Canis lupus familiaris: one gene and its partners. Each later gene encodes a partner of the first gene's protein in a complex. Links are inferred from orthologs where the notes say so. Each region holds a gene or a part of one and is shown in the gene's direction. Other genes may lie near its edges. The genes, in order: VAMP7, STX18, BNIP1 and BET1L.

Region 1 (7,661 bases):
ATAGACTATGTATTAGCATGCTAAAATAAAGCTAGATAATTTGTTAAAAACCCATACATCAGATCATATCCGTGCTGTGCTGGAACCTCTCTAATGAATCTTCATTACACTTAGGATAAAATCCAAATTCCTTCTTCTGGCTTCTACAGCCTTGCAAGATCCTCTCTGGCCCTAAGAAGATAAGACATAATATAACTCCAAGCAGAGAGAGCTGGTGCAAAGATCACAAAATGGGAAGGAGCTCACAATACTTAGAGAAACCTGGTGTGATCCCTCTCCTACCACTGTGACTACCTTACAATCACTCTGGCTTTATTTCTTCTGTTCTCTCTTATCTTCTTGTGGCCAACTCCTTCTTGACATTCAGGCTTCAACTTAAATGTTACCTCCCGAGAGAGACGTTCCCTGATTTCCCAATAGAAAGGCTTGTGCTAAAAAAAAAATTTGGAGCACAGACATATTACTTTGGGAGAGAACATGGAGTAAGAAGAGAGGCTTTGATAGAGCCCTAAAATCTCTAAATTGAGGGAACATTTAGAGTTCACAGAGCTCTTAACTCAGGACTGATTCCAAAATTCTTTCTAAGATACTATTCCTTCTCACAAAGAAGAGGTAATGAATAAAATAAATACTAATATGAATAATAAACCCTTGCGGAAGGTGGATAAATCTGAAAAAAGAAACATATATTTTTATGTAAAATGAAGACATGATATTTGGGATAGATATTGACTAATAAGTAAGATTTATACAGGAGAGGTAGCATGTGCAACGATGCAGAGACGTGAAAGAGCATGGTACTGAAGTGCGAGCTCCATATAGGCAAGGACAATGTCTGTCATGTTCACTCCAGGATGTATGATAGGCCAGGCTCATAGTAGGCACTTAATACATAATAGTGGAAGGGATGGATGGATGGACGGATGAGTGAATGCCACCATAGAGAAGCAGGCTTGAGCAGAGAGTGTGTCATTGAGAGAGGCAGAATATAAAGCAGGAGAGGTAGAGATAGGCCAGACTATGGAAGGCCATGGATTTTCTATTAAGATCTTAGACTTTATCCTCTATATAATGGGGAGCCAAGGAAGGGTTTAAGCAGGATTTCAAAGTGATCAGATTTTGTCTTAGAAAGAACAATCTCAAGTGACAAGAAGGGGTGGGTGGGGAGATGGTGAAGGAGATACTACAGGTACAGTACAGGTACAGAGACATTATTCGTGATTTGTAGTGCCCTGATCATTTTAGTCATGATTCTCTTAATGTACTTCGAGTTGTCTGTAGCCCCCTCAGAGCCGATAACAATAACTAAGGTATGGTATGTCCTGCAGATACTGGATTAGAACCATGTGTATAGTGCCTCACGACCTTGTCATGCTTGGAGAAACAAAGAGGAATGGAGTAGAGGTAATTTGTACAAAGTATCTCACCATTTTTAAAAAGATTTCATTTATTCATGAGAGACACACACACAGAGAGAGGCAGAGACACAGCAGAGGGAGAAGCAGGCTCCCTGCGAGGATCCCGATGCAAGACTCCATCCCAGGGTCTCCAGGATCACGCCCTGAGCTGAAGGCCGACGCTCAACCAGTGAGCCATGCAGGCATCCATCTCAGCATTTCTTAATTTTCCTTTTCTTTCTCCCTGAATATAAACTAAATAAAAAAGTAAATGCTAGTTACCATTATGTAAGACCCAATGAAAGAGAGACAGTGACAAACACAATGCTTGTCTGATAAATTCTTAGCGTCCTCAAGTGCTTCCTCTCTGTCTGGCACTATTGTTCATTAATCATTGCAACAACCGTTGAAGACAGGTACTGTTATTATCCTCAATCTAAATATGAGAAAATAGAAGCTTGGCAAGTGACGTTTTTAGGAGATAGAGTTAATATGGCTTGCTGACGGTTTCAATGTGAACTCGGAGGGGGGAATCACTCAAAATGAGAGGCGACTTTTGGTGTTAGGAAGCGACTGCACGGTTGTGGTGTTCACTGAGCAGTGATTAGAGGAGGAGAAAGAACAGGCTACGGGAGAGGGGAGGGAAGAAATGTTTTAGGTCATCTGAAGGCTACATTAAGTTTTAAGTGCTTAGAAGGGGTGCCCAGCTGTCATTAGATGTTTCAGTCTGGGCTTCAGGAGTCTTTACTGGGCTTCCTGCACGTGGAACCCGCAGCATACAGATGACACCCAAATCAGTGGGAATGGTGACATCACCCAAGACACCTGTGAATAGCACCAAAGGGCATAGGGCAGAACAGTATGAATCATGAACATTTCAAAGGAAAATGAGGAGCTGCCATAGAAGCGGGAGGTGAACAGGAATGCGCGCCGGCCAGAGACGGAAGAAGAGAAGGTCCCATTAAGTGGATGTTTGCGTCCCCTCCCCCCAACTTAGACGGGGGAGTCCTGCTGCTCAATGTGAGTGTATTTGGAGGTGGTGCCTTTCCGAGGTAAGTAGGCCAGGAGGGTGGAGCCCTCCGGAGTGACACTGCTGCCCCGCCGAGAGCTGTGCAAGAGCTGAGGTCTCTCCATCCCGGGGAGATGCGGCCAGAAGGTAGCAGCCTGCAAGGGGGCCGGCGGGTTCCCGCTAGAACTCAGGCTCGCCGGCATTCCTGTCCGAAGCTTCCCAGCCTCCAGAACGGTGAGGAACTCATTTGTGTGGCTTAAGCCATCCAGTTTGTGGTATTTTGTTCCACGCTAAGAGGATTTAAAGAGGGCGGAAATAATCATGTGAAATCTTGCAGGTTTGAAGGACGGTCATTGTCGAGAAGTGTCAGTGTTTTAGCAACAGGATCGAGAATTCTGACTGGAAGAGAGAGGTGAGCAAAAGTCCACAGGTTCCGTCTGTGTGGTGACAGGTTCGAAGGCACGAAATGGAGCAAGGTGACTCCGGAATGCAGTGGGCGAGAGCAAGTCCGCCAACCTTTCAAAGCTAGTCGTCAGGAGCAAGTAAGCAGGGACCATTGGAGGAGTCACGGGACAGGATTCAGCGGTGCAGCGAGGCTCGGAGTCGGGAGGGCAAAGGGAAGCAAAGCGGACGCGCGGGGGAGCTCAGATCCGAGGAGCGGAGGCGGCGGCGGAGGCGGAGGAGAGTTATTTCTATTACTGGCAACGAATGAATGGGAGGAAGGGTTGTCGGGGTCTTCAGGCGGTCAGGGAATTCCGTAGAGAAAGCAGAAGGTTCCTGGGACACCAGCTCTATTTTGTGAAATAACAGGAGACGTTACCTGCCAAGACCCAGCACGTAGGCAGCGGGGCAGGCTTCGCTCTTCATCTGTCCCCCCGAGTCGGTGCCGGTGCACTCTTCGCGGCCCTGCATCCTTCCCTTGGCGGCAGCAACCTCGCTTGACGTCGTTTAGCACGAGTTACTGACTCTGCGGAGGACCGGGCGCTACGCCAGTTGGAACTACCACTCCCAGAATGCAGTGCGGCCACTGGGAAGTGCCGGGGCTGGGAATGCAGCAGGCCCCGCCCCACGGCCCACTTCTATTGGAGGAGCGCTCACATTCCCAGGAGGCCGCGCGCGGGCGGGGCGCTTTACGCGGAAGCCGGTGGCGTCCGGTCCCAGCCTCCTCTGGTAGCGGGCAGTCGGCCGTCCGGCTGCGACTCGCGCCCCTCGGCTCTGAGCCCACGCGCTCTCAGGGGCCGCCGGCCAGGTAAACGGAACGGGGCGCGCTGGGCAGAAGGCGGGGAGACGACGCGGAGGGGGGCGGAGGTGTGGACGAGCCGGTGCGGGGTGGAGCGAGGAGGCAGTGCAAGGGTGACTTGGGCTTCTCTGGTGTCGACGGTTCGAATTGTCGGGCAGGTTCAGTTTTGATGAACTGCGTTTCCTGCCACTGAAAAGGCCTCCAATGAAAGAGTGTCAGAATGCGTCACTTAAGTTGTTGTCACGGGTGGGGGAACGTTAACTTTCCCTCAGTTCGCGTTTTCCAACACCTTTCCTCAGCCTTTGAATCCTGAGATTCAATCTTGTGATCTAAGTCTTCTAAAAACTCGTCTCTACGCCCTTGTTTTCATGACGTCACTCCGCTTCCCTACTTCGGAGCTCCTTCGTGGGTTTGTACTCCTCCGCGTCCCTTCTCACCGCCCATTGTTTCATTCCTCTTCTTCCTCACTTCACATAGGGACTCCGTATCTCTACCCAGACCTGTTTCCGCAGCATCAGCTCTGTATGGTGCGGTTAAAATTGGCCAGCATTTAACAAGCTCTGACCATGTACTAGACTCTTTGATGAATTTTTTACATCTCCCTCCCATAACCCCCACAGATGACCAGTTGTCAGGTCCTTTTCTGTCTTATTCATTGCGCCCAACTCCCTGTACCTCCATTGTCCCACCCTTGATCCCAGAGACGTGTTTTCCCTTTAAATAGCTGTGGCTGAGAGCAGACTCACTCATATGTTTAATAGATATTTATTCAAAGGTTAATGTGTGCCAGACACTCTTCTGAGTTCAAGGGATACAGCTAGAAAGAAGATCTAGGAGATCATTACTCTGAGTAGCTTACGTGTTTGCGTATGTGTGGGCAAACAAGAATAATCCAGATGATGGGATGTGGTGGTGGTTAATGCAAAGTAGAACAGGTGGTTGACTTGACATAGGGTAGGCTCCTATCCTGAGAAAGTCCGAGCGCTTGGGTTGGGTCTCAGAACATGACCCTAAAAGAATATTTGTGACACCACCAAGAATACAACTCTGTAACCAGACTTCGGACTTTTCGTAGACATTTCTTTTCCTCTGCCATATTGATATTTTTTTCTTCATTCTTCTATCTTCAAGGTTATTACATCAGAATTGGTGGTTTATTTGTCGTTGGTTTATTTCCTCCTAAGACCCAGACAGAAGAGTTGGGGATTAGATTAGATGAAAGCAGCACAACTGCTTTATTTTACTTAAGGAGATAGTTTAGTAATGAAAATATCCTTCTTACCAGGTCCTACAGAATGTGAAGTTATCTGTTATTTAAACCAAAACATGCTCATGATTCATTCATTTATTTAACAAATATTTGAGGGAAAATTGTATGCCAGGCACTGTGCTGGGTTCTGGAAAGATAGGATAAAATAGACTTTGATCTCTCTTCCAGAGACATGATTCTAACGGTATGCTGAGGAAATTCCTAGTACATAGCCTGACACCTGCATTTTTTCTTCACCCATGGTGAGATAACCACAGATGTTTAAAAAATCTGAATAATATTATACAGTTTTAGATTATTCACTGGTTACACTTTATTGCATTTATTTCTGTCTGTCTTTCCCATTGTACTATGGCTCTCTTGAGTATGGAGGTCCTTTCTTACTGGCCTTCATATCTCCCCTGTCTACCACATTGGCTGTCATATTGTAAACCCTCAAAACATATGTGTTGAACTGAAATAGAAAAATAATTTGATCCAATCCATTAATTATTTCATTTACACAAGGCCTTCTTTTTTTTTTTTTTTGAAAATTTATTCTTTTTTTTTAAATTTTTTTTTTTATTTATTTATGATAGTCACAGAGAGAGAGAGAGAGAGAGGCAGAGACACAGGCAGAGGGAGAAGCAGGCTCCATGCACCGGGAGCCCGACGTGGGATTCGATCCCGGGTCTCCAGGATTGCGCCCTGGGCCAAAGGCAGGCACCAAACCACTGCGCCACCCAGGGATCCCCAAGGCCTTCTTTATATAAGGTCATTCACCTTTAGAGAAGGTGACCTTCTCATTCACCGAATGTGGGGCTTTCCATCTCATCAGGCTACTTTACCTTCCCTACTTGGTTGTCACTTCTGTGCCTTCTCTTGTTCCATAGCTCTCCCATAAAATGTGTTCCCATCTCTTTCCTGAGCACTTTCCATGCCCCTTTCCTATTTAATTTAATGGGCCAATTTAACAGTATAAGACTGTAAACAATCTAATTTCCATGTGTATTTCCTATGAAACATTCTGCTAATGAGCTGTTACAAGCATTAACATGATACATTCCTTTGCAATAATATAAATAATGATATGGAATGCATTCATTTGAATTTTGCATTCACTATTATACCATGTGCTACATGAGAAGTCCATTTTTCCACCTTTTTTTTGTTTGAACAGTTGCACAATCTGTGTTCATACAGCACATTATAGTATCATTTGGTTTCCACTTGGTACAGTCAGAACTTCAAGTATTATTTTTTCCTTAGCCTGAGATAATTGTTACTTTCTTTTTTTTTTTTAATTGTTACTTTCTCACTATGTCATTTTCAGAATGTCAAGTCTTAATTCTTCAAATAAAAGGTTTTATTATGCAGATATCTTTCGATTGTAAATTGTTATGGCGAAAGATAAATTTTGTATTTTTATATTAATAATAATCGCATGCAGGGAGCCTGACGTGAGACTCGATCCCGGGTCTTCAGGATCACGCCCTGGGCTGAAGGCGACCCTAAACCTCTGAGCCACCCAGGCTTCCCAGCACTGTCATCTTAGAGAATTTCTTGGCTCTTAGGTCTTCATGATGCAAATTGCAGCATGGGATTGTGTGCTATCACTCATTTATAAGATACATGTGTAGATCCAGGATATTTACATACATTTTTTAATGTTATTAAAATAAAAATACAGAATTCAAAAAAAAAAAAGAGTCCTCAACACAGAGACTCGAATGTGAGAAAAACTGACTTGGCCTTTTTCTTTACTCAGTTCCCTAAAACCATCTCACTGTCTACTTAAAGATGCCTCCACTGAAGAGTAGTGTTTGCATTGTTGCTGTGCTATTTTATTTGCAGTTTGTTTTTTTATTTTTTTATTATGATGTATTTTTTTTCTAGTGAGGGACATGGGGATTGGGGAGGAATTTTTTAAAAGATTTTTTAAATTTATTTGAGACAGAGAGAATGTGGTGGGGGTGGGGTGAGGAAAGGCAGAGGGAGAGTTTTAAACAGACTCTGCACTGAGCTTAGAACCCGACACAGGGCTCGATCTCAAGACTGGAGTCGAAACCAAGTTGGACACTTAAGCAACTATGCCATAGGTGCTCTGAGCAATTTGTTCTTTGATTTTAATACAGGCAATCCATTACTTACAAATGGGCATATTTCAAACATTCCTTTTTAAGATTTTTTTGAGGGAACGCCTGGGTGGCTCAGTGGTTGAGCATCTGCCTTCAGTTCAGGGTGTGATCCCTGGGTCCGGGGATCGAGTCCCACATTGTCTCCATCTGCCTATGTCTCTGCCTCTCTCTTTGTGTCTCATAAATAAATAATATAGGAAAAAAAAGATATTTTTGTAAGTTGATGCCTTTTTCTTTATAATAATGCTATTCAGGCATTTCAGTTATTATGCCAGTTGGTAACATCTTAACCTTTCATGGACTTAAAGACCTTCACCACAATTTAATAATTTCTCTGTAAAAAAAAATACATCTAGAATTCTCAGTTGGATTCCCCTGTAGCATATCTTTTTTCCTTTGGAATCCCAGCAACGGGAATAAAAATGTCCTTTTCTTGGAATCTTCTAGGCAAGATTCTAACTCCAAACTCTTGGAGGTTGCCCTTCGACCCATCCCTTTAAGGACAGGCCTTTAATGAGAGTAAAAAAAGAGATGGAATAAAGGTTTTGGAGAGAAGAGGGAGTCAAGTTGGCATGATGTGAATATAGAGAGAGGGAAGAGTAAGAATGCTTTGGGAGGAACAATGAAT
Region 2 (6,578 bases), on another chromosome or scaffold:
GTTACCAGCTGGGGGACTCCCTCAGCTCTCAGCCTCTGCAGAGGTAGGGTGGCAGGCCACAGGAAGGGGCCACCCCTCTGTGCTGATCTGCAGGCCATGGGGCAGGGCTGGTGTGGTGCGATGTGACATGACTGGCATCTTAGATACTGTGACTGAGGCATGGAGGACAGACTGGAGAAGACTGCAGGATTATGAGGGCAGAGCGTAGGTGCCAGGGAAGGAATGGGTGCAGCAAGGGTGCAGGGGAACTGGTGGACGGGACAGAGGGCACCCACATGGAGGGGCTGGAGGGACATGAACGGAGGACCATTAAGAGGCCCTGCCCAGAGAAAGTGACCCTCCCAGTGTTTCCAGTGAGTAGAAGTGAGCAAGGCACAAGGGGAGGACAGAGAAGCACAGGGAGAAGCTTGGGCAGGTGCAGAGCTGAGTGAGCACAGCTCTTTCACTCCCCACGAAGTGGGAGCCAGACAGGGCAGCAGGGAGACTGAGGGTCCCTGCATGTGACATGCTGAGCACGGCCTCGGTGACCTTTGTGACTTCCATAAACATTATCTCTTCCCTCTGTTTTACCAAGCAAGTGGTAGCCAGAGCTTCAGTCGAATGGCAAAGCCTCCAGAGAGCCAAAGCTTGCTTCCATTTGTTCCTCACACAGCACCTGGCACAGATGGTGCCTCAAATGTATCTGTGGCCATGGCTGCAGCTCTAACAAATGCGAAAGGAAGAGTGTGGTTGGTGCCTTTTCAGAGTCGAGTTTGACTTGGTTCCCACCCTTGGGCAGCTCATAGTCACCCAGAGAGTTTGGGACATGCACAGCTTATTACCAGGCCTAAAATGGCTCACAGCCTAAGAGATGTTCAGAAGGTGCTAGGCCAAGGTTAGAAAAATGAGAAACAGCATCAAGCTTGGGGACCCGGGATACATTGTGGAGAAGATATTTGCGCCAGGTCTGTGGGATGTGGCTGAGGAGCTAGAGGACCCTGCCCAGAGGCTGATTGTGCATTCAGGGAGTTGAGTGGGCATGTGAAGGCTGAGTGCTTGGTCCTTAAGGTGAGGGGGAGGAGATCTTCTGGCCCCATACCAAGGCGAAGCTTCAGACACACCATCCTTTTTTTGGCCAGAGTCAAATTGGCAGGAATGGTGGGAACAGCAGCTGTCTGCTCCACAGTCAACTTGGCTCTGATGAGCTCCCGGGTGTCAGGGTGGTATCCTTACCCACATCGAGTCCTGTAGCCTGAGCGCCAGGAATGGGGCTCCTCTGGCTTCTGGGCCTGTGTTTCTCTCACAGTGCATTGGCTAGAGCATGGCTCTGAAATCACACTGCCCTGCTCTCACCTTAGCTGCTGGACCTCACAGTTCCACTTAAAACAGATGGTCCCAGTGGCAGACAGCACAGCCCTGTGGGCGCCAGAGGAGAGCAGGGAGGGCGGGGGGATGACAGGTAACCTTGCACCTCCTCGGCTCACCTTCGCAGGCATCATGTTGGCTTGCAGACAGGAAGAAATCCAGCCATGGGGATGTCATGCTGACGCTGGAAGGAGGGACTCTAGTGATTCTCAGAGGGCAGATCAAAGATTTCTGTGCAGACGCCTTGCCTAGACACTTGCCTTTGGCTGTGTTGGTTTGAGTATGACATCACCCTTCATGTGTTTGTTTCCTCACAGTTTGAACAAGAAAACCAGCGCCTAATTGGTGAAATGAACAGCCTGTTTGATGAAGTAAGGTAGGTATGTGGTTTCTCTAGGCTTGATGGCCTATGTTATAGCTTTTCCAGAAACTGAGAACTTTATTAATTTACTTTGGTGCCCCAATATACCCTTGTGGCCCTGGCCACATGCATGCCTCCCTGGAGCCATTTCGGGGTCAAGGGAGCTGCCACCCCTACTGACTCCCCTTAATTTGTGGGTAGTCCCCATCTATGTGCTGCTGCCAGGCTCCCAGTGACTACAGATTGTACCAGGTACTGAGCATCACCAGGTGGGGGCTGTTTGCACTTCATCACTTCAAGGTGAGATAGGGGGGCCTTTCGAAGAATGACTAGCCAGGGGCAGCCTCCTGCACTTGGCTCTGCCAGAGTCAGCCTGCTCCCTCAGCAAAAGGTTGGCAGCACCAAAGGCTAGTGGCTATGCTCACCCATTTGAACCATCACCAGCTGGTCCTATTGGGGAAGGACTTGGGGCCTGTTTCCTGAGAATGTCTGGGGCATCTGCACAGAAGGCCCAGGCTTTTGCAGGGCATTGAAACTGCTGCATTATAGGCTCATCCCAAAAGCAAGCACATCCTGGCACTGTACCTACACAGTCCCAAGGACTCCGAGTGCAGATACTTCCCTCTGACAGCACCTGTACTCTTCTGGGGGCCTCCTAGTCCTTGCCCCCACTGCCTCACTCTTCCCTCCTCAGGCCTAGAAGCCCTGGGGGGAATGGCAGCCTCCTGCCCTTACACTGCGGACCTCCTCGGCTGGGAGCTCAGCCCCTGCAGCCTCCATCTCTAGGGCCCTACTCTAGCCCCCAGACCACCACTGGGGGCCCCTGGCTGCCCCTGAAACAGGGAGAAGCTCAGACACTTGGTTGCTGAACCCAGATAGATATATTTTGCAGACGGATCTAGCCAGAGTTTTTCCTTTCCACAGGAAGTTGGTTAGAATGGCAATTATGCTTGCCCTCAGCCTACTGAGCAGTAACAAAGTTGAGTTGTCAGCACATTCTGGTGTTTTCTTTGGAATCCCCACCTCGTTACTATGGTTATGAGGCTGGTATAGGCCTTCTAGAAGACTCTCTTTTGTCACCAAGGGCACGGACTCCCAAGGCAGGGGCACTCAGGTCAGCTTACAGGGGAGAGCAGGCTTCTACACCGCCGTACACCCCCATAATCTGAGAGACTTTGAAGGAGAGCTGGAAAGTAAAATGCCTGTTTCCTCCTTCCCTGAGCTGGACGTGGTGCCTCCTCCCTCTCTCTTGGATGACATGATGTCCCTCTCTCCTCCAGAGGCTTTCTCACTTAGTTGATCCCTTTAGAAATGTTAACGTTCTTGTTAGGACTAAGTACTAATGGTTGTATGTAACCTTTTTTTTTTTTTTAATGAAGGCAAATAGAAGGGAGAGTGGTTGAAATTTCCAGGCTCCAAGAGATATTCACAGAGAAGGTTTTACAGCAGGTAAGAAAGAAAAAAAATCACTGTTGAAAGTTTTAGCTTAAAAGAATATACTGTGAAGTCCAGATACTTCTGAGGCTGCCTGTCTCTGCAGCCGTGCATGCAGAGCTTTGTGCTTTGGGCCAGTGCACACTCACACGGCTCCTCAGGTGAGGGCCTCTTGCCTCTGTGTTGGCGAGCACTCTGCAGCCAGACGGCGTGGCCACCCCAGGTGTGCAGTGGAGCGCTCAGAGGGGGGAGTCAGGTGGATCTCTGTTCTGGAGGCCCTCAGGTCACCAGGGTAGCCTCTGAGCTATGGTTTGCCTGTCTATAAAACGGAGTGGCCCTTGCAGGGCTGTTTTAAGGCCCAGAGATAACCCACAGGGAGCACCCAACACAATGCCTGCAGGATAGTAGCCCAGACTCGGCTGGCCCTCTGAAAGCCAGGTCCGTGCCACCTTGGGTGTCATGTCCACACAGGAAACAGGATTGTTCTCACAAGTGGATTTTCACGTTACTCATACTTGCCTCCACATCTAAAATTCTTCCAGTCAGCTACTGGCAAAACTTTTAGAGACCGATAAATTTGTCCTTTTGTTTTTAGGATCCACAGACCATGGAAGGGTTTCAAAGACAAAATCATTTTGCTCCATCGTGTTAAACTGGGGTAGTTGACTTAAGATACCCCCCCCTCACAAAACCTGTCCTAAGGCTCACAGCCAGGGTTGAATCGTACATCAGGTACATGAAACCTCACAGTGTGGAAGTTCAGGTTCAGAAGAATTGTCCCTCTTTAATTGCGCACTGAAGGAACTAGGCAGGTATGTGCTGAGCCTTCACATCCCCCTCCTGACACCTCAAACAGCCACGTCAGCTGTCTGTTAGAGCAAGCAGACTTGTTTCTGGAGGCAGCACGGCACGGGAGGGGAGCTCATGGCTCTGATCCAGACTTCCGAAGTGTGTCCTGTGACCTGGGGTGCCCTGAGCCCTGCCGCCCTTCACAGAATGGGGCGGGTGTCCCCTGCCTTGCTGTCATTGCTGGTGGAAGAGGCACTGGACACGCTCCTGGCTCATGGGAGGCTCTCAGTACATGGGAGGTCATGTTTATACATTTTAGCCCTTTACTTTCTTAGGTTACACATAAAATGGTGAAACACAAAGCACTTTTCTGAAGCTAGGGTATGTTTTAAAGCACATGCATTTAAAAGCTTACCTCTCGAACCTAATACAGGAGAGACCAGAGGGAAGGGCCCTGGCCTGTGGCGGCTACTATGTAACGGGCAGCTCTTGTGCTCGTCCCTTCCTGTCCAGCAAGTGGCACAGAAGGTGACACCTGGGGTGGCAGCGGCACAGGTACTGGGTTCCAGTCCTAGTCCTGCCACATGGTTGCTGTGTGACTTCGGGGTGAAGTCTCTGAACCCTGTTTCCCTTTTGCAAAATGAGGATGCGGCCTACCCCTCAGGGCACCGTAAGGATTCATGGGCTCATGTTTATAAAGTCCTGGCCCTTTGTAAGGGGCAGCTGCTAGCTTCTGAGGTCTGTGTGCTTGGGGAAAGGAGATAGTGGTTGGGTCCACCTGTTACTCTTCTTCCACAGGAGGCCGAGATCGACAGCATTCACCAGTTAGTTGTAGGGGCAACTGAGAATATCAAGGAAGGTAATGAAGACATCAGAGAGGTGAGTACTCTCGGGTCCCCCAGGCCGTGGCTATGTGGCAATGAGTCCAGGCAGTAGGGGTGGTCTTGCTGGCAGGGCTGCAGGAGAGCCATGCTGGGGCCCAATCCCCAGGGCTCACCTCCTGACTGTGCTGGACAGTCCTGTTCTGTCCCCAACAAACCCTGGGCACCCGCTGTTACCAAGAGATGTGACTCACCCTCCTCCAAAGGAGCCATCTGAGACACGTGAGGTTACTCTTGGCAAAGGCTGCACCAGCTCCCTAAATCCGTGGATGGGCGCCACTGGAGAAGCTTGTTGAACACCCCCTGCCCCAACCCTAAGGGCCAGGGCCTTGGTTTACTGGGGCCACCACAGCGGACTCTTGAGTGTCCTCGGTCTTCTGAGTGCAGTCCCCGGGTTTGGGTTGATGGGAGGCCACTACTGCCATGTACTGTGGGGAGCCAGCAGCTGGGCCAGCTATGGTACTCGAGGTCGGCGTGTGTGGTTTTAACCCCAGGATGCACATGGGCAGTTGCTGGGTGTTTCCTGGGAGAAATATGCAGGAAGTATGTCTAAGGGCCAGCCAGTAAGGGAAATAAATACCTGTTTGTTTTCTGATGGATTCTAAACCCATGGTTTTGTCTAATTCCGGTAGCACTGACTCTAGCAATACCCTGTTAAAGCCCAGTGCAGGGCGAGTGCCCGCAGACAGGTGGAGCATTTGAGGGCTTTTGAAACCAAAATCCTGTGTGATGCAAATCCCTGTGCTACTGCCCTCCTTCTCCCCCCTCCCCCAGGCCATTAAAAACAACGCTGGCTTCCGAGTGTGGGTCCTCTTCTTCCTGGTGATGTGCTCCTTCTCCTTGCTCTTCCTGGACTGGTATGACAGCTAGTCCACTCTGGCTGTTCCCGGCAGGCGGCGCGCTGTTGTGGGCTCCGGCATCAGAGCAGGGCTGTGAGCCGATTTATCACAGAGCCATTCGGGGGGAGGGGGCTGTGACAGATGTATACTCTCACAAAAGGGACACCCAGACCTGTGGTTTTAAGCCCATGTAGTAGCTGAGAAAGAAAATAATGAACACAAAATGACCTGTGTAGCAATCCTGATGCAAGGTGGGTGAGTTGGTGGGGGGTGGGGATTGTTACTGGCTGCACCTAAATTGGAGACCAATGTGGAAGGGCTGACCAGAGGCCAGGCTCTGGGAGGCTCCAGCCCTGCCCTTCTGGTGGCTTCGGGAGAAGCACTGGTTAATAACTTCTCACAACAGATGATCATTTCTTTGTTTCCTGTGACTTCTCATCTGCCTGGGCCATGTGACAGAATCACTATGTTATAGAAAACGCACCTGTGCCCTGTTGACCTAATAAATGCAACTATAGCTGCTTCATGTCCTATCGGCGGGTCCGAGTGTAGTTCAGTGGACGCCGGCCTGCTGGCTGCAGAAGAAGTGCAGGGATAGACTCTGGGCACTCAGCAAGGGGCCACTGCGCCCCTGGGAGCTTTTGGCTGGAGCAGGAACCTGGCCTGTGCACCTGACCCTCTAGGAAACATGAACAGGACTGACCACCTGTTGGCAGTGGGAAGCACAAGTCTTCTGGAACCACGTCTGTGCAGGAAACAAGCTGGTGTTCATGCCCACCCCCACCCCCACCCCACCCCCTGGTGTGGGTGCGGACAGCTCTGCATTGCTCCCTGCAGAACTGTGTGCAGTACAGTCTGTCACGCGGCCACAGGGAGGGGTCCTGTGTTTTTTATTGGCACAGAGTGAAAATGTCAAAAGTTACATGTGAA
Region 3 (7,723 bases), on another chromosome or scaffold:
GAGAGCTGCTGAGGATCCAAAACTTTTCAGTGACCTGAAAAATGTCAGTTTCCTTAAAAGATTTTAATCTTAAAACATCACCAGGAATGAACTTAAAAATGTACAGGGTCTAGATAAAGAAAACTTTAACATGAAGGACACAGAAGACTTGAACAACTGGAAAGAAAGATCCAAGTTCTTGAACTTGAGCAGTGAGCAACATGATGCTGTAAGCCCTCAAAATTAAAAATTTAATGCTATCTCAAAACATACCAATAAGGTTAAAAAACAAAATACTTAAGGTTTCTAGGGGAAAAATATAATAGCAGAGGAGAAAAAGATTGGGCATTTAATTGAAACACATTAAAACACATAAAAAAACTATAAAATTGTCATTTTGGTGTGTAAATAGGACAATAGAACAGAAGGTCTAGAAATGGATTCGAACATAAGAATTATGGTAAATGTAGCATCCGGAACCAGTGAGAAAAAGATGGATTCTTCAGAAAACAGTGTTGGAACAACTGGGAAACTCTCTGGAGAAAGGAACGTTGGCTCTGTATCTCATACCATAAGCCAATATATATATATCTCAAAATGTGTAAATGAACAAATGACAGAAATGGGAGCAATTCATTTAAAACCTGTGGGGTGGGGGTGAGGAGGCCTTTCTAACTTGGATCCTAAATCCAGGAGTCATAATTGAAGACTGATAAATTCTATGTGAAACAAAAAATTCAAAAACTTATTTAAGGCCAAAACCATCATAAGCCAAGTCAAATTCTATAGACTACATAAAAAGCTCATCTCTAAAGGCTAATCCTCCTGAAATATAAAGAGCTCCTGGAAACTGGTATGAAAAAGAACAACCACCTGACAGAGAAATGAGCAAAGTAAATACAAATAGCACTCAATTTCATTCATGTAAGAGAAAAGTGAATTAAAGAATGGTATTTTTTACTCAGTCAAATTGGCAAAGGGGCACCTGAGTGGCTCAGTCAGTTAAGCATTGGCTCAGGTCATGATCTTAGGGTCCTGGGATTGTGCCCAGGATAGGGCTCCCTGCTCAGCGGGGAGTTGGCTTCTCCCTCTGCTCCTCCCCCTGCTCATGTGCACTCTCTCACACAAAAATAAAAGTTTTTTAAAAATTGGCAAAAATCCTAGTATTTAACACACCATGTTGGCAAGGCCGTGGGAAAGCAGGCATTTGTAGCACATTGTTGTGGGAGTGTAAATTGATATAAACTCTCTGAAGTGCAATTTGGTAATTCTAAATTTTAAATGCACAAATCAAAAAATAATAATAATAAAATGCACATATCCGGGAATCCCTGGGTGGCTCAGCGGTTTGGTGCCTGCCTTCAGGCCCAGGGCATGATCCTGGAGTCCCGGGATCGAGTCCCACGTCGGGCTCCCTGCATGGAGCCTGCTTCTCCCTCTGCCTGTGTCTCTCATTAATAAATAAAATCTTTAAAAAAAAATAAAATGCACATATCCTTTGACTAGCACTTCCATTTTGCACTGCGCAAATCATCCTGTGCCTATTTCTTCATGTATAAAATGGATAATTCTACCTCATAGGGTTGTTATGAGAGTTAAATTAGATGACACACATTAAGAACTTAGTACAAAGTGCCTGGCACATAGGAAGTGCTCCAAAAAATGTCAGTAATGTCATAGCAGCTAATGCACATTGAGTTCTTAAACACATGCCACATGACTACACTGTGCTTGGTGCTTTTCATGTACTACCTCATTTAATCCTCCACCTCTGTGACTCTACCAGTTAGCCTCAGAATTCTGAGGGGCAGAGCTGTGAAGTGGGTCCTCCAGCAGGATTCAAGCAGGGTTGACTCTAAGGCCTGCAATACATTGCCTATTAGGTGCAGTGGGGTGATGAACGCCTTAACGGATGGTGTGTGGAGCAGTGGAGAAACACAGATAGGCAAGCACATAGCCCCCTGTGTACGACACTATACCCAAGGGGCCATATTTGGTTTTTGAGGGAAGACGTGGCTTTTAGTGAAGGCTCTGCCACTTTCAAGTTATGTAACTTTGGGGCAGGGACGTTCAGTTTTGATTTATTTCGCTTTGATCTACTCTTGGTCCATCTACTGATCTGTAAAACTGGGGTATTACCTATTTCAAGTCTGGTTGAAGGATTAAGAGAAAAACACAGCTAGGCATTCAGGTCTTAACAATTTATGCTTGCTGATGTGAACAGAAGCACATGGGGTGGGAGCAAGAGGGGGAAAGCATTCTAAGAAAAGGGAACAGCACATTCCAAAGCTACAGATCCAAAAACAGCTTGAGGAATCCAGGAGAGCGATGGAGTGAGGTGGCTGATGGCCTTGGACTATTTGATAATAAAGGCAGGAGCCACTGTTCGTTGAGGGTCTGCTCTTAATTATTTCCATCAAAACTACTCCAGCAAGGTAGGCTTTAATAAATCCAACTGTACACAAAAGGCACGTGCCAGGAGCTACAAAAGAGGTGGAGGTGGGGAAGTGACTTGATCAGTTGTGATTTTAGAACCCTTGGACCATGTGCTGGAAGAGGCCTGTCTTGAATTCCACACGTGAAAAGCAGTAATAACATTTACCATCTTTTCATTTGCTCCACAATTATATTCACTGTACAACATATGAAAAATATAAGGAAATTTAAAGAGATATAAAAAATTGTTAATTCCACCTTCCAGAGACATCCCAATTGATACTTTCCTTTTTTTTTTTCTCTCTCTCTCTCTTCTGCAAAAAACATGTAGTCATTAGAATGCCTTTTAGGTAAAAGATGGGGAGAGGCCAATGTTAAAACGCTCTCGATACTCCCTCTCTTCTTCTTCTTTTCTTTTCTTTTTTTTTAATTTATTTTTATTGGAGTTCAATTTGCCAACATCTAGCGTACCACCCAGTGCTCATCCCATCCAGTGCCCCCCAGCAGTGTTGCCCAGTCCCCCCCCGCCCACCTCCCTTCCACCACCACACCAGAGGCGAGTCCTCCGGCCTCCTCGCCTCGACCCTCGCTCGCCTCAGGTTGGTCCCTAGAGGGCGCTGCCGAAAGCCCCGACGCGGAACGAAGGTGACGCAAAAACGAGTTTAATTTGGGCCCCGCCGCGGCCCGTAGCCGGCGTCCTCAACATGGCGGCTCCCCAAGATGTCCACGTCCGTATCTGTAACCAAGAGATCGTCAAGTTCGACCTGGAGGTGAAGGCGCTTATCCAGGTACTAATTCCCGGGACGGCTGCCGGGCCCTGTAGCCCTGAACCCAGGCTCCACCGGCCTCCTGTGAGCTCGGCGGTCTCAAGTCTGGGAGGTCGCTGGTCCCGCCCCACGGCCCGCTACCCCCTGGCGGCCCCCTCTGGTCCCGTCTCCTGGGCCGTTGGCGTTGATCCTCCCTCCGCGCGCTGTTGTCTTGCCCTCCTCTGAACGCTCCCGCGTCCCCTCGTCCCTGGCCAGGCTTCCGGTCTGTGGCCACATGGGTCGCCCCCGCACACTTGTCGACTGGGACGACCTGTCGCCCCGACGGGCCCCGCCTTCTCACGCCTCCCTCCGCCGCGCTCGGTGGCGCCCCGAGGGCCGCGAGCCCCGCCCTCCCCTGGCCGCCGCCCCGGCGGAGGTGCCCCAGGGCACCAAGGGCCCCGTCGTGCGGGAGGCCCCCGGCCACCTAGATAGTAGCTGCGACTTTGTAAATGAGGAAAAAGGCTAAAATGCCAAGGCCTGAATCAGAAGGCAGGTGGTGGCAAGACTGCGACCGGACAGGGAAAGTCGGCCTAGACGAGGGACTTAGGGGGTCTCTGAAACTCGGTTTAACAGATGGGGTACCGGACACTCCTTGCCTTGAGCCACTTAAGGGTAGAAGGCAGCAGAGCAATAACTGCTTGGCCTAGGCAAGAGGAAAGTAGAAATGGTTCCTTGAATTTAGCAAAAAGAAACCAAGAGTTTTAAACTCTTTATTAGTAGTTTTATTTTTTTTAAGGTTTTATTTATTTATTCATGACAGAGAGAGAGAGAGGCAGAGACACAGGCAGAGGGAGAAGCAGGCTCCATGCAGGGAGCCCGACGCGGGACTCGAGCCTGGGTCTCCCTGGGCCCAAGGCAGGCGCTAAATCGCTGAGCCACCCAGGGATCCCCTAAACTTTGGCTTTAGGCAAGTTATTTCCTCCGTTTCCAAAAATGTTGCTAAGCATTAGATGTAGACTCAGATTTTGCAACTAGCTGTGGCAAAAAGCGAAGGAAAGTAGGACTCTCCATGGAGACCAGATGCAGAATAAACCAAAGTAGTGCTTTATCGTGGTACAAGGAAGTGTGATTTAATGAGTAAGCCAGAAAACAGATGAGAAAACTTGATGCAAACTGTTAAACTTCTTCAACTACACTTATTCATACATATTGCAAAACTTCTGGGCTGACTTTAAGAAAATAAATTTAGGATTCATATAAAAAGATTGCCTTTTCACATAATCTAAATTGCTTAAGCCCTTCTGTACTCTCTGATATTGGGGTTCTCATGATATACCTAGATATACTGTGCTCTTACTGTGTTCCAGCTCCTTTGCAACATACTTTGCATACGTACCTGGTCTATGTGGTAGGTAATGTGATGAGAAAAGTGAGGCACAGAGAACCAGAGTGACTTTTTGTTATCCAGCCAATAAATTGCTGCAGCTGGAGTTTGCATCTACATATTTTGGCTCTAGAGCCTGCTCTAAAATCTGACCCCAGTAATTTTGAATGTCCAGAAACAAATTCTTTTTATTTTTTTATTTTTTTATTTTTTATTGGTGTTCAATTTACTAACATACAGAATAACCCCCAGTGCCCGTCACCCATTCACTCCCACCCCCCGCCCTCCTCCCCTTCCAACACCCCTAGTTCGTTTCCCAGAGTTAGCAGTCTTTACGTTCTGTCTCCCTTTCTGATATTTCCCACACATTTCTTCCCCCTTCCCTTATATTCCCTTTCACTATTATTTATATTCCCCAAATGAATGAGAACATATAATGTTTGTCCTTCTCCGACTGGCTTACTTCACTCAGCATGATACCCTCCAGTTCCATCCACGTTGAAGCAAATGGTGGGTATTTGTCATTTCTAATAGCTGAGTAATATTCCATTGTATACATAAACCACATCTTGTTTATCCATTCATCTTTCGTTGGACACCGAGGCTCCTTCCACAGTTTGGCTATCGTGGCCATTGCTGCTATAAACATCGGGGTGCAGGTGTCCCGGCGCAGAAACAAATTCTAAATCTACCCTTGAACAGGTCTGTAAACACTGTGATTTGTAATAGATGATCGAAGTTAACCTTGCCATATGATGCCAGGAATTGAGCATCCTGATTTTCAAGTTGTATCACTTTTGGATGTCCATTCTTGTTGGACATATGATCTGCTTTAAGCCTTTTATACTGACTAGGTGGCATTTTGTTAAACTTTAGGAACTAATAGGACAGTTGTGTTTCTTTTTATGCTATTATAGTACCTGCTCAAAATTAAAGAGGTTATGAGAGAAATGTAAACGATAATGTTTTTGCTCGTGTTGCAGAGGTAAACAGCAAAGATCAGGATGAATTACAGACAGTAGGCCAGCCTAGTGGTGGTTCAAGCCAACTCCCCCTGTACAGGTGGTTTCATTTCATGTCATTTGCCTCAAGAAAGGCCCCTTCACCTCTTCACTGTCTCCTAGGATATTCGAGATTGTTCAGGACCATTAAGTGCACTTACTGAACTAAATACTAAAGTGAAAGAGAAGTTTCAGCAGTTGCGGCACAGAATACAGGTGAGTAGCTGTAGAACTGAGATGGGGAGAATGGGTGACAATGAGGAGGCTCTATCCTGGGAGTAACCTCTGCTTGAGAGCTAGCTGTCCAGGTTCTTTAGTAAATGTTTTGACAGTGAGGGTAACTGTACTAACATGCTCTCAAGATAAAAGTGAGGAACTTTTGAATGTATCACCAGTGTCTCCTGGGTTTTTTTTTTTTTCATGTTATGCTTTGCCTAGTCTCTTCCTACCTGTTTCTGAGGTCTCTAGTCACTTCATATGCACATATAAACACTCCTGAATCCAACTATGGTATAGGTGCTATCTCAAAAACCACTGGAGTGAGAAGTACCCATTTGTATAGCCTGTTTCTGCTGCTGTGCCCTAGTGAGAATGAGATGGGTGCATGGATCTGCCCATCACTGGGTGGGTCCTGGGGCACCCCATCTCAACTGCTTATGATACTAGGATTTAAAGACCAGATGCCAACCAACAGCCCTTTTTGTTGCTTAACAGAAGATGGTCTGTTTCAAAGCTGGAAGAAAAACTGGCCATTTGGACTCCCTGAGAAGTAGTATGTCTGGGTCCCATGTGTTGCCTTTCTAAGAGATTTTCAAGGACAATTGTGAAAATAAGCAGTTCTTGTCATAAAAGTTCACTTTAGAATTTTAGCAATATCACTGAACCTAGCTGATCTTTTTGCCTCCATCTCTAGCACTGATTTAATCATTTAATTTTTTTGAAAGGCTGTTACTTTTATATATTACGTATTTATCATATCTATGTGTGTAAATATGGGCGCACGGTGAAAAGTCTCATGTACCAGTCTTATTCTGTTTCCCTCCTCCACACAAGTAACCACCTTTGTTACTTGTTACTTACGTATCTTTCTGTGGTATATGTACTCAGATAATAGAAAAAATAAATATATTTTCCTATTTCCAATTTCTCATCTAAAAGGTAGCACACAAAACACCACTTTTTAAAACTTAATATCTATTGGAAATGCTTCCATATCAGTATTTCTTTTTAAGATTTTATTTATTTATTCATGAGAGACACAGGGAGAAAGGTAGAGACACAGGCAGAGAGAGAAGCAGGCTCCATGCAGGGAGCCCGATGTGGGACTTGATCCCGGGACTCCAGGATCAGGCCCTGGGCTGAAGGTGGTGCTAAACTGCTGAGCCACCTGGGCTGCTCCCATTTCAGTATTAGAGAGTTTCCTCATTCTTTTTTTATAGCCATAATTTATTTTTTAGCCAGTTCTGTGTCAAAGGGCATTTTATTTGGATTGCTTCTCTGCTTTTTGATTTGTTTTTTTTTTTTTTTTTGCTTTGCTTTTTGAAGCTAATGTATTCCCTAAAAGGTCTTTCTTCAACTCACATGACTTCAACTCTCCAACCACACCCACCACCTTAAGTATTTCCATGTTCTTTTTGTTTAAGTATCTAGGTGCTGACTCGGTGTTTATTTCCTTCACTAATTGAAATTACTCCACTGATACATTTACATATTAGGTCCCTCTCTCCCATCATCACCTCCTTGAGCACCAGAATATCCCTGACACCAATTAAGGACCTAAAAACACATGATTAGTGAATGAATAACCCCATCCCAGTTTTAATCTGCATTTCCTTAACATTTATACTAGGAAATGTATACAAGATTTCTTTTTGATGTTTTTAGCTCTTTACGTGAATGACTTCTTTGTGTATTTGCAACGAGATTGTGTGGTACTCAGAGACTTGGCCTCATATCCTTAGTATATAATCTCTGCATTGTAAATGTTGGGCATTGACTATGTATAAATACCTGTGTAAATGTCTTTGCGTATGTGGTGCTCCAACTGGAATTTGAGAACTATTTTACCCCTTTCTTTTCTTCTGGAACTATCTGGGTCTCTATGACAGAATTTCTAGGCAACCTTTTATGAGGAAACTATATACCTTTCTTCTTTCTTTCCTTCCTCCCTCCCTTCT
Region 4 (7,951 bases), on another chromosome or scaffold:
AACTAATCTCACTCCATCTTGCTTTGCAGTATCCCAGAGGGGCTGGTTGGAGGTCTAGCTGGCCAACGTCCTGTGTGCAGGCATGGGAACCAGGCAGCCTCTGGCTCGAGGTGGTGGTGGGTTCCCCAAGGGATGCCAAGAGACAAGTGTCACTCGTCCCGAGGGCTGCCTGCACACAGCAATGCTAGTGCTCTGACGGCACAGGCAAGGATTCTAGAGACAGCCACAAACAGCTCTAAGACACAAACTCCGCTGTTGACTCTGAAAACCCGTCAAGATAACCAGCACAGGTAAAACCTTCAAGTGTGTGCGTGTGAGAGGGGCCACGTGTTTCTGAGGGAGGTAGAATCTGGTTTTCTGCCAAACTGGACCACGAAGCAGCTGGAGAAATGGCCTGAATCACACTCTGCTTACCAGTGTGACCGTAAAAAAAGCAGTGATCAAGGCTGCTTGGGAAAGTCAGAGCCACTGAGGACCCCACAGGTCAGGTCCCTCTGCCCACCTGGTGCAGACGCTTCTCCAGGAAGCTGAGAAGGACGTGAATCACATCCATGTTCGCTCCCAGGAACTCCAGGGAGCCTTTGTGTGGCTCCAGGGTAAGGAGGACGTCCAGACACTTGAGGGGCAAGTTCCCCAGGAGATTCACTGTGTGGCTGAGGACAGATCAGGAGGAGGGCTTGATAGGTCCGACCCCCCAGCATAAGTACAAGCCTTGCTGCCCCCTAAAGAGGCCGCATGTGACTTGAACTAGCATCTAGGGATTTGATGACCAGAACCAGGGGCCGGTACTGAGGGTGAGACTGACCCTAGAGATGTTCCCACATAGTCGGTGGGGTGAGTTCCTAAGAAAGGGGGCACGCTCCGTCTGGGTTGAAGCCCCGCGGACAATCTCTGGAGCGCCAGAACCTGCCCAGGCACAAGTCGCCGAAACAGAACTCAGCAGTTACTCGCTAACTACCACGTGGTTGGTTACTACTAACTCCACTGCAGACACAGATACCGTTCTTGGATTCGTTTCTCTTGTCCTAGCCCCTTACCATAGACACACACTGATGGAAATCCCACCCCTGTAGGTGAAGCCTCTCCAGGGGGAAGCCTAGCCGACAGCCAGGGTGAGAACTACTGTCTAGACCCCTGAGCACACTTCCCTTCCATTGAACGGGCCCCACCCTCACCCGTGGAACTCCTCTGTGCGGTCTCCAGCAGCAGCGACCATCACACAGTGCCGCAGAATGGTCCCCAGGTGCCGATAAAGGGCCGCATCTTCCTGACCAAAAAGAAAGGGGTTCCTGTGAGAGGAGGCCCCACTCTGGGATCACATGCACGGACTATGCATTTTCTCTACTGTGTGCCCAACCCCTCGTCCTCCCCCACGTAGCCTTGAAAGCATTTCCTTAACCAAGACCATTACCAGGTCTTCCTGGGATAAAAATCACAACCTACTCTAGTGTCCTGCTCGTGACCTCTCCATGTACCAAACAGCCCTCCTACCAGGCTGCAAGTGCCAGGTATGCCCTCTGCCTTTCTCAGACAGTCTCTGAAGGCCCCTGTACATGATGTACAGCTCCCTGCCTCCTCCCAATAGGCTGAGAGCTCTTCCCGTCCTCTCCCCGTCTGATACCTGGAACCTACGAGTTCGCTATAGGCAAACAGAGCCAGCAAGTGTCCACACCGTTAAGCCCTACCTGTGGGCTCAAGTCAGTCCTCACCTCGTCTACCTCCCTCTTGATGGAGTCGAAGGTGATATTGAAGAGCACTTTGAGGATCTCCATGGCCCGCTCGGTCTCCTGGGGAGGAAGAAGCTCCGGGGGGTTCTCGTCAGGGCTCATTCCCAGGGTCAGCTCCAGCGCATCAGTCAGCAGGTGCACTCCCCGCAATTCCTGAAACAGCTGCTGCCTAACGTCAGTGCGAAGTGCCGTGAGCAAGAAGAGGAGGCGCAGATCAAAGAACTGGATGTCGTGTGGAAAGCTACTCTTGCGATACAGCCCCACGCGCTCTGCGAGCCTCACCACCAGGCGGGCCTCTGCTGCCAGCACCTGTGCCACCGGGCTGCTCAGCACGAGGTTGCACAGGCACTTCAGGGACTCGAGGACAACGTCCATGTCCAGAGGCTCCGGGCCAGACCCCTCCAAGGCGATGCCGGCATAGCAGGCAAGGGCCTGCAGGCTCTGGCGGCTGGTGAAAGGGTCCAGGCAGCTTCGGTCCCTGGACAGGATGCGGATGCTCTGCAGCCAGGTGACGCGGCGGGGGGGTGGCAAGCCCTGCTCCAGGACCGAGACCAGCAGCTCCGCCAGCCTCTGTGGGCGGGAAGAAGAGCGGCTCCAGCAGGCCCCCTACCCCGGGGCCACGCGCCCCCGCCCCCTGCCCTCGGTCCGCACCCACCTTCCGGTCCTCCTGCTGGGCGTCGTCAAACGTGAAGCTCTGGGAGTTCTGCAGAGACGGGGAGGCTCAGCGGGCTCGGCCGCCGCGGGCGCCCGCACCCCCCCCGCCTCTCCCCGTCCCCCAAGGTGCGCGCAGACCCCGGCCCCTCCGCCGCGCGCCGCCCGCCGCCCGCCGCCCGCAGCCCGCAGGCCCGGGTCCGCACACGCGAGCCCCGCCCGGCCCACCTCTTCCGTGCAAGCACGTTCACGGCTCGCGCTCACCTCCCGGTTGTACGTGCGCAGAGCCTCCATGATCACGTCCTCCTCGCCCGCTTCCACGGCATCCGCAACCACCCGGGGATCCATGGCGCCTCCGGGATCCCGCGCCGAGCCGGCGGGAAGGGGAGCTGCTTCCCGGCTCCGGGCGGAGTTCCGCCGCTCCGCCCCGACTGGGCGCGCGGGGCAGGCCGGGACTGGGAGCGCGCGGGGCGGGGCGGGGCGGGGCGGGGCCAGGGCTGCGCGCGGGGCAGGCCGGGACTGGGAGCGCGCGGGGCGGGGCCAGGGCTGCGCGCGCGGCATGCCGGGACTGGGAGCGCGCGCCGCGGGGCGGGGCCAGGGCTGTAGGTTCATTAAGGGGGCGAGACCTGGATCAGCTGGCTGGGACTTGAGTGTTTTGCCGGGGAGTGAGCGCGAGTTTCAAAGGTCCTACTAGGTGATTTTTCGACCTCGGAGCTGAGCGGCCTCCGAAGCTAACGGGGACCCACTCACCTTCCCACGCACGCCCCCCTAGATGCCTAGCACCAGTGCAAGTCCGGGGGAAAAGCGAAGTGGGAAGGACTTTGCGGCCCCGGGACCCGCCGACCGCTGGTTCCCGGCCCTCTGGGAGCGTGAGCTCGCACGTGAGGGCAAGGAGCCACGGGCAGCGGTCTCAGCGCTGTGGCGAATAAAGTGGGCTGCAAAGGGATGTGCGGAAGTAGCATTTCTGCTGAGGCCGGACGATAAGAAGGGATCCGGGGGAAGGTCGTTCGGTGGCCGCGGCGGGGACGCAAACATGTCCCTGAGCTCCAGGGGAGGGCGGGGAGGGTCAGGATCACCGGCAGCCACGTCCCAGGTGTGTGGCCTGGACTGAGCTCCCTCTCCCGTGTGTGTGGTCGCAGCGGTGCCCGCCGTGCAGCCAGCCTTTGTGGGCCGCCTCCGTTCCCGCGGCGCCGGGACCAAGGCAAGAGGCACCGGCCGCTACGGCCTCTGCTGCCCCCACACTCCCGGCCCCCGTCTGGCTTCGCTTCCCTTCGGAGTGCGTCACCCTTGCGTCTTCCAGGCCCTGGCCTCCACCGCGTCCCCTCGGCAACGCCTGGGGCGGGGACCCGCGGCGACCCCAGCAGCCAGGCCCGCGGGGGAAAGCGGGGACGCCCGGAGCGGGACCCGGCCCCGCCCTCCGCGCCATTGGCCGCTGGCGGCGTCTGTCACGCGTCCTCGGCACTTAAGGCCCGCCCCCCTAGTCCGGAAGTCGGCCGGACGTCGGCCGGAAGTCGGCGGGCAGAGCGGAAGCGGCGGGGTCCCGGTCCTCCCCGGTTGCGCCACGTCCGCTGAGGCGGTGGCTGGGCCGCTGGCGGGGCGGGGCCGGGGACGGGGCCGGGGGCGGGCGCCATGGCGGACTGGGCGCGGGGTGAGCGGCGGGTTGGGGTCGGGGGGCCGCGGCTGCTCCGCCCGGGGCCTCCGGCGGGCGGGCCCCTCGCGTGCCCCAGAGCCCCTGGTCTCCCCGGGAGGGGCGGCAGGAGCCGAGGGCGGGCGGCGGGACGCTGACAGCCCGCCTCGGCCTTCGTGCGCACCCGGGCCCGCCATCGGGGCGTCCGGCCCGCCGCACGTCCGCGCCCCGAGCCCGGGCGGTGGCCGACGGTCGGGGTCGCCCCGGGCCGCGCGGGGTGCGGGGGCCTCGGGCCTGCGCTGCTCAGCCTTGGCTGCCGGCCGACCTGCGGGGCCGCCGCGCCCGCGCCAGTGCTGCTCCGAGCGGCCCCGCCGGGTGACTGCCTCCCAGCGCGGGCCCACCCCCGGGCGCCGTCCTCCGCGGGCTGTCCGCGCTCGCGCCCCGGCCCCGGCCGCGGCCCCTGGCTTGTCCGCAGGACGGAGGGAGCCCCGGGGCAGCGCGGGGGCCGAGCAGGGGCCGCGGCCCCCCTCACCGGGGCCTCCGCGCCTGCGGTCCTAGGCTCAGACTGTCCCTTCTCGCAGCCCAGAGCCCCGCGGCCGTGGAGGAGATTCTAGACCGGGAGAACAAGCGGATGGCCGACAGCTTGGCCTCCAAGGTCACCAGGCTTAAGTCGGTCAGTGCGGTCCTCCCTGCGAGCGGGGACAGGAGGGCAGAGGCTGGGGAGGGTCCCGGGCTTCCTCGGGGCGCTGGTGTCTGAGGCCCGGGGAGGCCCGGCCTGATCCCGCCGGCGGGTGTTGGCGGGTCCGCTGGCCTCGCGGGCGGGACCCACCGAGTCTTTCTGGCCTGACCTTGCCCCCCGCCCCGCGTTCTGAGCAGCTGGCCCTGGACATCGACAGGGACGCAGAAGACCAGAACCGGTACCTGGACAGCATGGTAAGGGGCTCCGTCGGCGCGGGGCGCGGGCCGCTCGGGCAGGCCCTGGTGGCGCTGCGGCACCTGCGTGGCAGTCGTGGAGGCGCCGCCCTGTGTGACCTTGCTGGGATTCCTCCCTCAGGACTCGGATTTCACTAGCATGACAGGCCTGCTCACGGGGAGCGTGAAGCGCTTTTCCACCATGGCGAGGTCCGGGCGAGACAACCGGAAGCTTCTGTGTGGCATGGCCCTGGGCCTGATCGTGGTCTTCTTCATCCTCTCCTACCTTCTGTCAAGGGCAAGGACGTGAGCCACCAGAAGCCGACTTCTGTGGGTGCAGGGGCAACCAGGGTCTTCCCCCGCCTGGTGGCCTAGGCTCCTGAGGACCTACCTGCAAAATACTCCTTTGAAAGGGGGATCCCGGCCTGGGAGTTTTCTTGCTGTGTGCCTGGGAGTTGACGGCTGCCTGCGCCCAAGTGAGCTCCTGTTGGCTGGTCCCATGCAGTGCAGCTCCTTCCCTTGGGGACACCAAGCCCCAGCCCCTGTGCTACTCGGGGTGTGGAGGCCCTGGCAGAGCTGGGTGTGAATCCTCGACGTGGCCACCTGTGGCCAGCAGCCCTTCCTTGTCCCCTGGGGCTTCGACGTCTTGAGGCTTTGGGTAAGGTCACGTCCGATACGTGAGCAGCCTGGAGCTGACACAGGAAGGGGGTTCGGTTATGAACTTTGAGCACCATCTGCTCTGTTCAGAGGAGCAGCTACTCGGTAGGGCTGCTGAACATGGGCAGGTCTGCGCCAGGGGTTCCGCCCCGAGGTCACGTCTGCCCCCCAGACCCTCGGAGAAGGGCAGGGGGTTGTGGATGAAGAAGTGGACTTCAACCTTGGCCAGAGGCACTGGGCCCTGATCCTTCTGGATCCACAGTCTTGTATTCAGGAGCAGGAACTCAGGATCTACCTAACACCAAAGACGTATTTCTGGGAGACCAGAGATGGGAGCTCTAGAAGGGTTTCTGTCTGTGTGTTTGGGGTGGGGGTGCAGCACCTCTGTGGTCAAGACGAGAGGGCTCCCTAACAAGTTTTATAAGACCCAGGGGTCACCGGGCAGCTTCCCCTCCACCATGTGAGGCCTTTCAGCAGTGAGTATTCCCTGAATAAGGGGACTCTTCATCATTGCCTCATCCCTGGCCTCTCTTTGAGCCCTCACTGCCCGCTTGGCCAGCCCCATGTTCACACAAACCACAAAGTGCAGGCCCAGCTGGGCGTCCGCACCCTCGTATGTGCATGAAGACACATAAGAAATGATTTGCTAGCTGTGTCCTCCCCGGTTCCTTCCCCTATATTCCGATCCTCTGCCAGCCCAGTCGCTCCCCCTTCCTCCCAGAGGACAACTTGGTTTGCTGTCCGCCCATTCCCCCCCTCATCCCGTGGGTGATCACACGTGCGCCGACCACACATCAGCTCCGTTCTCTGGCCCTGGGCGCCTCCCCTTCAGCACTGCCGCTGCTCTGTGTTCTCCTTGCCTCCCTCCCCTCTCTTGCCCTTGTCCCTGCAGCAAGTTTGGCACGTGGTCATCATAGCTTCCTTATCTCCTGCACAGCAGCTATTGGGCTGCTCGGCCTCATCTTCTGAGTGCCCTTAGCCTCCAGATGCTAGTTGCTCATCCAGGGAGGTCAGCTGGCCTCCCTGCCTGTGGAGCTTTGCTGTGTCCCTGACTCGACGTTCCCTCTCGGGCCCTGTGGTCTTTCCTCCGCAGTCGCCACGTACACACCGTGGATCTGAGTTAGCTCTCTGGTGGTCTCCTGCTACGTCTTGTCTTGCCACCGGGACACGTCCGCTGGTCACCAAGGTTAATGGAGCCTGCAGTGTCCATCTGGCCACACGGCAGGTGCACCCGTGGCCTGCGTCCCCCCCCCCTCCCTGGGCCTGTGCTGCTGACCTCTCCCTGAGAACATGCCTCAGCTGTGAGAGACACACCAGACTACGGGGTCGATGTGGGCTGGTTTAGGTTTTGTGTTTCGGGTAGTCTTGACAAGTGCTTTCTGCTGTCCCCTCGAGACAGCCCACGGCTGCACACTGTCCTGCCTCCCCACCTCCACTCCACAGCTCTGTGTGGCCCTTCCAGCTATTTGGGGTCTGAGTTTCAGTTCATTTCTGATTCACCGTCTTGTTTCTCATTCTCGCATTGGGATGGATCCCAGGAAGGGGGCGTGGCAGCTCTGCTGCTGACCTGCCGGAGCTTTTGTCCTGCCTGAGACCACACCGTCCAGGTTTACACACGGTTTACTGACGGTCCCTGAGACCCCTAAAACGACAAGGACCGGGGGCTCAGCCCGTGCCAAGTGAGGACACACTGCCAGGCTCTATCTCATCATTCAAGGACAAGGCACTTAATACACATTTGGAATAAACAGCTTCGTGATGAAGTAAACAGTCTTGCTGTTCTCATTTTCTTGGGCGCTTGACCGTTTCATCTGGCGCTGATCCCGGACGGCAGGCTGGCCGTGGATACTGGTGGTCTGCGCCCCCGCTTCCCTCTGTCTCTGGTTCTGCTGTGTCCCTTCCTCGTGTGCCCCCCGCCCCCAACACACACAGGTGGGCGGTCACAGGCTTGCTACTGTGTCAGCCAGGTTTCTGTAATCACCCCCCAGGGGTAAATGAGTAAATGTGAGGTGCTCAGAATATAGCCTCACATGGTCCCAGGTCAGTGGCTGTACTGAGCTCCATATGGCTATGGCTGATGGGCTCATGGGGACAACAGTGGGGCCTCCCCTCCCCCCCTGCAGTCTGCACGGCACCCTCTCTCTGGAAATGAGGTGAGATCCACACTCCACTCCTCAAAGGCCTGGCCTCGGACTCCCTGCAGCCTCTAGGAACACCAGTCCTTGGCCTCACTTGGGAGGCCCTTTCCTGGCCCACATCCTCGAGCTCCCCGTGTTGCCTTTGTTGTGTGACAGATCACTTTAGATGTAGTCACAATTAAAGTAATTTACATTTTAGGATTAATGTGGTTGGAATTTGAGCACAGTGTGGGGACCGC

The links.
Region 2: VAMP7 (region 1) and STX18 share a complex: the UniProt entries of both Homo sapiens proteins name them as parts of the SNARE complex. The link is inferred for Canis lupus familiaris from reciprocal best matches to the Homo sapiens genes VAMP7 and STX18.
Region 3: VAMP7 (region 1) and BNIP1 share a complex: the UniProt entries of both Homo sapiens proteins name them as parts of the SNARE complex. The link is inferred for Canis lupus familiaris from reciprocal best matches to the Homo sapiens genes VAMP7 and BNIP1.
Region 4: VAMP7 (region 1) and BET1L share a complex: the UniProt entries of both Homo sapiens proteins name them as parts of the SNARE complex. The link is inferred for Canis lupus familiaris from reciprocal best matches to the Homo sapiens genes VAMP7 and BET1L.

The regions. Positions count from the first base shown.
Region 1 is NC_049260.1:124,837,572-124,845,232, forward strand, and holds the start of VAMP7 (vesicle-associated membrane protein 7), read left to right. Parts: upstream 1-3,404; 5' UTR 3,405-3,419; coding exon 3,420-3,655; intron 3,656-5,084; exon of another isoform or gene 5,085-5,155; coding exon of another isoform or gene 5,156-5,158; intron 5,159-7,661. UniProt on the Homo sapiens protein: Involved in the targeting and/or fusion of transport vesicles to their target membrane during transport of proteins from the early endosome to the lysosome. Required for heterotypic fusion of late endosomes with lysosomes and homotypic lysosomal fusion.
Region 2 is NC_049224.1:70,408,549-70,415,126, reverse strand, and holds part of STX18 (syntaxin-18), read left to right. Parts: intron 1-1,661; coding exon 1,662-1,720; intron 1,721-3,084; coding exon 3,085-3,154; intron 3,155-3,734; exon of another isoform or gene 3,735-3,951; intron 3,952-4,726; coding exon 4,727-4,807; intron 4,808-5,583; coding exon 5,584-5,679; 3' UTR 5,680-6,107; coding exon of another isoform or gene 6,108-6,108; 3' UTR 6,109-6,578. UniProt on the Homo sapiens protein: Syntaxin that may be involved in targeting and fusion of Golgi-derived retrograde transport vesicles with the ER.
Region 3 is NC_049225.1:40,185,339-40,193,061, reverse strand, and holds the start of BNIP1 (vesicle transport protein SEC20), read left to right. Parts: upstream 1-3,050; 5' UTR 3,051-3,119; coding exon 3,120-3,203; intron 3,204-5,669; coding exon 5,670-5,762; intron 5,763-7,723. UniProt on the Homo sapiens protein: As part of a SNARE complex may be involved in endoplasmic reticulum membranes fusion and be required for the maintenance of endoplasmic reticulum organization. Also plays a role in apoptosis.
Region 4 is NC_049239.1:25,710,099-25,718,049, reverse strand, and holds BET1L (BET1-like protein), read left to right. Parts: upstream 1-3,919; 5' UTR 3,920-4,007; coding exon 4,008-4,026; intron 4,027-4,586; coding exon 4,587-4,678; intron 4,679-4,881; coding exon 4,882-4,938; intron 4,939-5,059; coding exon 5,060-5,227; 3' UTR 5,228-7,342; downstream 7,343-7,951. Other genes in the region: RIC8A (synembryn-A), read right to left, coding at 503-653, 1,176-1,267, 1,710-2,297, 2,383-2,430, 2,643-2,726. UniProt on the Homo sapiens protein: Vesicle SNARE required for targeting and fusion of retrograde transport vesicles with the Golgi complex. Required for the integrity of the Golgi complex.